Drosophila melanogaster: one gene and its partner. The protein of the gene in region 1 interacts with the protein of each later gene in a pairwise test. Each region holds a gene or a part of one and is shown on either strand. Other genes may lie near its edges.

What was found.
Region 2: the proteins of CG30183 (region 1) and CG10943 interact in a two-hybrid assay, tested with the Drosophila melanogaster proteins (one large-scale study listed by BioGRID).

What each region holds. Positions count from the first base shown.
Region 1 is NT_033778.4:23,694,628-23,699,902, forward strand, and holds the start of CG30183 (uncharacterized protein), read right to left. Parts: upstream 3,198-5,275; 5' UTR 3,049-3,197; coding exon 3,040-3,048; intron 2,982-3,039; coding exon 2,568-2,981; intron 2,515-2,567; coding exon 1,815-2,514; intron 1,639-1,814; coding exon 653-1,638; intron 606-652; exon of another isoform or gene 556-605; coding exon of another isoform or gene 1-555. Other genes in the region: angel, read left to right, coding at 1-555; mRpL43 (mitochondrial ribosomal protein L43), read left to right, coding at 3,597-3,733, 3,796-3,902, 3,968-4,302.
Region 2 is NT_037436.4:12,861,135-12,865,071, forward strand, and holds CG10943 (uncharacterized protein), read right to left. Parts: upstream 1,787-3,937; 5' UTR 1,678-1,786; intron 1,624-1,677; 5' UTR 1,585-1,623; coding exon 658-1,584; 3' UTR 583-657; downstream 1-582. Other genes in the region: CG32107 (uncharacterized protein), read right to left, coding at 1-150.

The DNA of each region.
Region 1 (5,275 bases):
CACCAAGCAGTGGAGCTGTACGACCAGGCGGTGGCTCTACTCAATCGCGACAATGTGGCCTTGTTTGCCAGGTTCCGATTCAAAAAGCAGCAGGAGCAGCAGAAGGAATTCGTGGTCGCCACCACGCACTTGCTGTTCAACACGAAACGGAGCGATGTCCGTTGCGCCCAGGTGGAAAGAATTTTGGAGGAGCTGCAGTCGTTCTCCACCGACACACCTATCGTCCTGACTGGTGACTTTAACAGTCTGCCCGACTCCTCGCCTATTGAATTCCTCGTTGGCAAGAATGGGGATGTGGATTCCACAGCTTGCCCAGAACCCCTGCATTTCGAGATCATCGATTCGGGCGAAGGTACTGCCTCCACATACCAGAACGAATGGGTTATCGTGGACTACATCCTGCGCTCGCTAGGATCGCGGAGCAGGCACAAGCTCTTGCCTCTCAGCGTCTACTCACTGCCCTCAATCAACCGGTGCATCGGGGCGGGACAGATCCCCAATTACCGTCTGGGGTCGGATCACTACGCCTTGGGTGCAGTATTCACCGTTGTCTAGTATTTAATCTCTTCATGCTTTCTTGGACTCATCAATAAAGGTACGAAATGAACATGCCCACTTATTATAAAGTAAAAGATTAAGGGAAGGGACTCACCTGAAAGGTTCTAACTGCGTGCTCATCGCTAGCCTCCAGCTTGGCCCTGATGCTGCTGAGCAGATAGCCCATTTTAGTGATGGTGACGTCCTGGTCGAGATCCTTGTGATACGAGCGATAGGTGGTGGGTGATGTTGCTGCTGCTTGAAAGTCCAGCTTGCGGGCTCTGTTTGCACGGGGCAGCTTCTTCGGAGGCGTCGGTGCCTTCACCTTGCGTTCGAAATCGAAGTACGGCTGCTCTGTGTCCAGCTGTTGGCGGGTGGATGTGGTCGTACCCGAGGGCGTGGTCTGCATGGGGGAGTGGTAGCTTCCCGGCGGAGACTGTGACTGCAGGTCCAGCTGCGAGGTAGATGTCTGTACGCCAATGGTGCACTGCTGGGGAGTGAATCTGTGCTGATCCAGCTGCGTGTGCACCTCCTGATTAGACTTCTTCGGCGAGACGAAGCGCAGGATCTTCTTTTTGGAGTTGTTCAGAAAGTTCTTGGACTTCTTTCCAAGGTTCTTCGGTTTGTTACCCTTCCAAGGAGATAGATTGCGCCACTGCTCGCTCCAGATGAACTTCTGGCTAGCCTGACCTCCTGCCGTGTTAACTCGACTGGGATACTTGATGGGCGTCTCCTTGTGCACCATATTTGATGCCAGGTTCTCGGAAACACTTCCGTCAACAGTGTCCAAGGAAACCTTTGGCACTACGGGCTGTGGCTGTGCTTTAGGCATTTGCCATCCAATGGCTACTTGCGGTTCCGCCGGTGTCCTAAACTCGCTGGCTGTCTTGCCCTCGTAGTTGAGCATATCGGTGATCTTGGGCTCTGTCCAGCCAAGAATAACCTCCTTGGTGGGCGCTCCTTTCCGCCTACTCTCCTGCCGAATATTCCGGTCGTAATTTGAGCCCCGCTTGGATTCCACTACGCGCTCAATGTCACTGAGCGAGGGGCAGGTGGGCAGTTGCTTGTTGCTCCTGGGATGCCTGGGCTTCTCTACCTCAGCTAAAGAAAGACGCAAAGCTCGTAAAAACATCGAAAACCAAGGAACCAATTAATGAAACCGTAAGCCAAATGTTTGGATACAAAACACTTTATTTGGTAAATACATTTGATTTTTGGTAAAAATAGTTTCTATTTGGTTACGGTTTCATTTTCTAGGGCTTACGGGTATAACTTACCCATGGGGAACGATCTGCGCTTGCTGTCTTTTTTGAGCGATGGTTCCAGCTTGCTCGTAGGCACCTGAACGCCACGTTTGCGCAGAAACTCGTCCAGCACTCGCTCGGCCTCCCGCACCGAAGGATTCGTGGAGGTGAGCGAGGATTGCGATAGCTTCCCGTCCAGACTTTGGGAGCTGCGACGCGGCGGCTTCGGAGGCGGCAGCTGCGAGTTCCGTGCCTTGAAGCTGACTTGACCCTGCGAGAGGCGCTTCTGCAGCAGGCGTCCACCTGCTCCGGAACTGCGTCGAGAGCGGGAACTCCTGCGACTTGGCGGCTCGGTGGCCAGCTCTTCTTTCTCCTGATCTTCCTCCACAGCGGATTCCTGTTCGCTGATGTTAGACAAAACAGGAGCTGAGGGCTTATAGGCTATGGGCTCATAGGAAAGCATTTTAGTAGGCTCTCTCTGTGTGCTCCTGTGCCGGCACCTGGAGCTAGAATCTGACAGTTTGTGGCGGTTCACGCGCACTTCGGACACCACACAGTTGTCGTGCAGCTCCTGGATGATGTGTATAAGCGGTTCATCCTCGCCGGCCACGGCTCTCAAGCGACTGACAGCAGTTAAGGGAGTTTTCAAGCCAGAATTTATGCTGGCCGGCTCGCTTCGACGAAGTTTCTCCGCCTGCTGCCGCTGGCTACCGAGATTGTTCTGCTTGGCGGGCTGTAAAATGTGAGTTTAATGAGGGAACTGTAGCGGGCTGGTTAGTGGCTTACCTTGGCGCTCTCAGATCGCCTGCTGCGCCTTGGTAGTCGCACGTGCTGGTCACGTGGCGGTGCCGTGGAGCCGCAGTCTCCGCTGTCGCTGGTGAAGCAGTAGCAGAAGCCGTTCTGGCACGGCTTCCCCTTGCGCTCCTGCTCCTTGTTGCAGCGATTCTGGTTGATTAGGTCCGCATCCGTGGTTCTGCGGACTCGGGGAAGTTGTCGGGACATGTTGATGTGGTTATTGTTGGTCTCGCAGTCGCGACTTTGAGTGGACACACGGCGAATGCGGCGTGCCCTAAACTCGTCGATGCACTCCTGCAAACTGAACGACGATGTGGAACCAGACTCGGCGGAATCCTCCTCCTCCTCCTCCCCCTCTTCTTCATCAACTAGAACATGTTTGGAGAACTTTGAGCCTACAAAAGTCTGGAGGCCAATATGCTGTTCATTTGCACTTGTGATTAAATAGCGATTTAATGCTTACGGTGGCCATTTTGCAGTCTATGTATTTATGGAGCTGATTAGACCAGCTGCATGTGCTCCACTTTTACACGTTGCACGCTTTCTACTCCGCTTCTACTTCGTGTTTTTCCAATCAAATGAAAAGCGACGCCTCGCCTGCATTTTTGTTTTCCGCTTTGTGCCGCTTCTTCTTTATCAGCGAAAGAGAGAGAGGAGAGAGTGCATAACAGCCCTGTCTTGCGTCAGAGATTGGGCAATTGGCTGGTATAACTCAGGCAGCACTATATTCATATGCTTGAAATTGTTATTATTTATACAATTGTTCAAATGGGCTTTACTATTTATTATTTAATTCAGCGCGGAATAGGTTCATATTTAAAAGAGGATGTGCTAGAGATTAATTATGTTCCAATGTAAGCTGGGGTTATAGGGGTTATAGCTATAAAACATAATGTTTCTAGCTAACTCGTCATCTCTGGTCAGAGAGAATCAGCTGTTTGCGGCATGCTATTACGTCGTCTCTTATTTGGAATTGTAAAAAATAGTTAAAAATTGTTTTGAATTAAAAACAAATACAGAATGTCAAACAGCCACTTGTTCTTGAAGTCCGGCTTCCCCCGTGCACCCCTGCAAAATGGATTGGGACGCTATGTTTGTCAGCTCCAGCGGATCACCCTGAAGTTCTGCAAGAATAATGGATCCAGCAGAGGCATGCGGTAAGCAAAATCCTTAAATGTTTACATATAAAGTAAAATTAATCATACGAAACGTTCAATAGCGACTTCATTGAGAATCACTTGCTGGACTTTGCCAAAGAGAATCCCGGGATTGTGGTCTATGTGAAGCCCAGGCGCCACCGCACGCCAGTTTTGGTGGGAGAGTACTGTACGTATACATAATGTATAAGGATGCTCCCTAGAATACACTTTAAATATGTCATCCTGTTCCAGTGAACGGCGAGCGCGAATGGATGAGCTGCAGGAACAGCACCCAAGAGGAGATCTCCAAGTGGATTGACCTGCTAAAGACTCAAAACGGCAGCTCCAGCTCCCTGCGACTCCGGAAAATGTGGCATACCGAAGTGCCCTCCATCCAAGGCCCGTGGACGCCATTCCTGCTGCGTTCGCCGGATGCCCAAGGCCAGGCTTACCCCAGTGCCGAGGCGTCAAAGCCGCTGGATACGCCGCAAACTGCCACCGAGAAGCTCATCGAGTTGTTCCGGCAACAGCAACTGGAAGCTGGCGAGGAAGCACACGACGTGCTGAACAAAAAGCGGGCCGAGTGATAGGGATTAGGACTTTTTGGTAATTGTTGCTTTTATTTTTATAGTCAACATAGTTTTGTTGGTAAACAAATAAATATTTAAAATCTAAACCACTAAACTTGTGCCTCCATCGCTGGAATATCGAACCAAAAGTCATAGAAAAATGCAAACAACTTATTGTCCCCTTAGCTATGTTGCCTTTCAGATAGTTTCGATATGTTTCGGGTAGTTGGAATATCATTGTGGGAGTATCATAAATAATGCTTAAGGTTACCGACCCCTTGGAGGCTTGGAATACGAATACGAATACGAATACAAATACGAATAGAAATAGAAACAGGTTCTGGTGACGACTTAGCATAACCAACTTAGCATCGACTAACGACTGCAGGTGAGATGGGTGGCTCCGATCGGCGGCGATCGGTTAAGTACGCAAAGGTCTGACTAAGACGTTGATATAGTTACTTGCGGGTGCACACAGCGAGTTTGGGAGTATCAAAAAGTAGACCACGAATAAGTAATTGCTTATGTGCCGAAGTATTTTCCATCTAACACTTAAAACTATTGTACATATAGTTACTTTCACACGTACGATCAACGATCAACTTACACACCGATAAAAGCATTTTGCTCGAGTTTACAATTTCCGTTTAGTGAATTCCTTTGGCGAAATGCATTTGGTTCTTCCTAATTATTACTACATAGACCTTGAGTACACGAATGTTAACGTTGTCATCAAAATAATCAATACGGACGTCTTTACACTTTTGATATTGTTGTCAATGTTATATCACTAGTTGAACTAAATTAAACTTCTCCTTAAACCCATGTCTTTTTTCCATTCTTTCCCAGCTCTGCTTCATCTCTGCCGCTGCTGGCCCATATTTATACCTAGATTTTGTATTTTGGTGGTGATGGTGGTGGTGGTGGTGTTGGTGGGTGAGCTTTAAGCAAGCGTTTTCCATTCGCAACTAGCTACTGGCTGCTTTTTGGT
Region 2 (3,937 bases), on another chromosome or scaffold:
AAAGTTTATAAGATCACTGTACTTTAAAAATATATCATTGGTTTGCTTGAATGCGCAGTTTTTGTGAATTTGACGAAATATTTCATATAAACAGTAAGGATTTAAGTTAAAAATCGTTGTTTTTTCTTCTAAACCAAAATATTCCATCATCGTTTCAAATTTGGCGCTAGCCATTCCCTCGAACAGCTAATTCTCACTGACTAACCGCAAACGAAAAAAGGTTTATTTTGGTTATTCGGTTATCTTGAATGATAAGCTGTCAAATGTAATAAAAAGCAAATTCTCTGGAACACCTTGTCTTTTGTATCAAAGGCTAGATAATACAGCTCACATTTTTTTATTGTTACTATTACCATTATCTAATTGTAAGATAACCATTTATTGATGAAGTATTTGCACTACAGATTAGCAATATAAAAATAGGGGACTTCCCGAAAAAATCAACGACCGTTGAATTTTTTATAGTAAATTGAATAATGGGGAAATATTTAAACGTATTTGGGAATAGCGGTTTAAAGGACCTTTTTTCACGAGGGTGGCAGCACCGTCGTCATTGAAATTCCCGCATGATGGCGTCCCCTTGCTGACATAAAGCTGAAATGTACAACATTCTTCTTTGCGATATAAAAGTATATATGTTTTATTAAATAAATTTGTTTACAAAGCGTTGGAAATTTGTTGACCCTCTGATGGTATAAGTTTATGGGTTTCTTTCACTCTCTCCTGATTAGATTGCAGTTTCATTATGGTAGCAGCTTGATCGTTTAATAGCTCATCCTTTTCCCGCGTTTTACAAGTTTCCAAATTTAGACCCAATTCCAAATATGTGATTTGGTCATCTTTTTCTTTAATCTGTGCCTTATGATTTGCTATAACTTTTGAGTTTTCACCATTTATTTTATCTTTCTCCTTTATTTGAGCCTTGAGTGAAGTTATTATCCCTTTATTTTTTTCCAGTGTTTCGCTTTTTTGGCCTATCTGATTTTTGAGGGTTGCTATAAGAGATTTATATTCTTTCTCTTCAGAAATTATCCTACACATTTTAACGCTTAGAGATTGGATCATATGTTCGTTTTCAATATTTTTACTATCGCTTTCTTTCAAACGAGCTTCGAGTGTTGCTATAAGATCTTGTTTGTCCTTTAGCTTTACATCATTGTCGCCTATCTGAGACTTTAAGGACTTAATAAGTTGTGAGTTTTCTATTTCCGTTTTAGCCTTCTCTTTAATCTGCGCTTCGAGGGAAGAAATAAGTAACTTTTTTTCCTTTTCGCTTTCTTTAAAAAAAAAAATTGTTGATCTTAACTTTGATTTATTTTTGGTTGTCTCAAGATCTTGGCTAGAGTTTAACTTCGCTTTTCTTAAGGTTGACAATTCCTCCTCTAGTTTTTCAATTATGCTTGCCTGAGCATCAAATCTATCCTTATAATCTGATTTATAAAGGTTGTTAGACATTTTTAAGGCCTCAATTATCTCGTTTTTGTCCTTAATTTTATCGTCAAATATGGCCAACTTTTCGTTGGCAATTGCCAATTTAAATTCCATGTCTCTTAGCTTATTTTCAAGTACCATTTTTAAGTTCATTTTCGGTTCATCGAAATCGTTGCAGTCACAATAATTCGCCTAAAAAGATAAATGCTAAAATTAATGTTCTTCAAAAAGAAATACTATTTATACCTTCGAAAATGATTCTGTGTCATCTGAACTTAAATGCAATATAGCGCTTTTACTTCTTGAATTCATAGCGATAGAAAATATGTAGACCGCATTGGTTGGTAGGAAAAAGCGAACTGAAAGGTTCATTTAGGTTTTTTTTCTATAATAATCGAATATCTCCTGGTGTTACTCATTGCTTTACAATAATCTAATCAGGAGTTTGATTAAATATTGCACACTTGATAAGGTATAGCCTCAAAACCTCGGAATTGATTGAGTATTATTTTTTTTGCCCTGCAATCTCACAGCTTTTCCACTTTCCCAATTTTATCATATAAATGTAAATGATTTTTTATAAGAATTTTGGATTTTCATTAATTACGAATCCAGATCGTGGGTAACATGTAAAATGAATACAAATTGAATCAATTAGACGGCATCCGCTTGGAAATGAAAACCAAAAGATAAAGTCTGGGAAAACGGGGGCGATTGCTTCGGCCAAATACGAATTAATTTATTCTTTTCCATGTTCTTTTCGGCAGTTGGCCGTTGTAAAATCATTTTCCATTTCGCTGGCGTCAGAAAATGGCAGGAAAACAGGTTAAGTCGAGAGGACAAGCAGGTTCAACAACAACAACAACAACATCAACAAGGTAGGCAATTAAATTTATTTTATTTCTCCTTCCCGTTTCGTTTTTAAGTTTCTTAAGCAAGTGCTGGAAATCGTAGACAACACTTTCGTTTCAGGACGAAGCGGAAACGATAGGCAAACTTTGCTGCACCAGGATACGCAGCCCCTCAATGGCCCCGCCCACTTCCTCTTCCACTCACTCTTCGAATCCGTTGCTTTACATAGATAGCGGAAATGCTTGGCCCTGTTTTCGGGCCCTCTCGATTGCATATGCAGCTACTTTTATCGATTGGCTGAAGTTTGCACTCCTTGCCTATATACATATATTTAGGCCTCGTCCTGCCAGCTTTTGGTTCCACCTCCAACGCAATGTCATTGTCCCTGGTCGACTATTAACCCCTTCTGCAGCAATGACTATGGGGCAAGTACCCTTGGTAATATTAAATAGTCCATATCCGGGGCCAATGAACCGCAGTGAAGTGATTAGGCCCTTGAAGTTATCATTCAAAAGTATTGAACTATCTAGAACCAAAACAGGACTTAGTTTTATTTTTACCTTCTTACCTTCCAATAATACTAATTCTTCGATTATTAGTTTGATAATGTATATTGGCTCGTTTAATTGGCCATTCTAATATATACTTTTATTTAATTATTATAAAATATTTAGGAATATATTTTAGAAATATTCAATAAAAGAACATTTCTTCATTGAATGATTGTATTTCTTCTAGTGTTATAGTTTTAAAGAAACAATGTTATTTCTGTTTATTAGATATTTATTATAATATTCTTAATATTGATACAACTTGCTTTACATTTTCGCAATGTCTTTAAATTGAATTGCAAATAAAAAGTAGTGTTTGCGACTTCAGTTCACCCTTGAGAACTTTCCCTTTAGAACAACTATTTGCCGACTTCTAACGACAAGTTAGTCTCCTTGGTAGTCGAATTTTGCACCACATTCAGTATTTTCAGGCGTGAGGGTTGGGGTGCTTCCGCCACATAAATTTCCATCGAATTGGGGGTCGAAAGGATGTCGAAGGGGTGAAGAGGGGATGCGGGGCTGGCTGGTATCCGGCGGCAGAACGACGAAGCACGATTCGCTGGGGCAACAAAAACAAGAGTGGAGCCAAGCAGAAGAGCAGCAGCAAACTACTTCTAATAACGACAATCAACGCTCTTCGGGTTGTTTGGGTGCTGTGTAATTACATGACAGCAACAGCAACAGACAACAACAACAGCAACAACAACGGACAGCAACAACAACAGCAACAACAACAACAACAAAACAACAACAACTGCAATTGCAGCAACATTACGAATTACGATAATAATTTCCATTTCTAATTTCCTTGCCACGCAAAAGGCCTTTGCACTTGCCGAGGCTGCCAAGCTGCCGAGCTGAACTGCAATCAACCACCCACCCAACATAGAACATCCTCCGACATCCAGAAAGTGACAGCACCACCCACCACCCAACACCACCCACTGCCCTTTTTCCGGCAACAACAGGCTAAACAGACGGCCAAAAACACTTGGATAAAAAATACGATAAAAGGATATTAAGGGAAGATGAAAGATTCTTTGAATTAATTTTGTAATATTACTTCGATAATTTGATATATTTAATGAAAGCAAGCCAAAGAA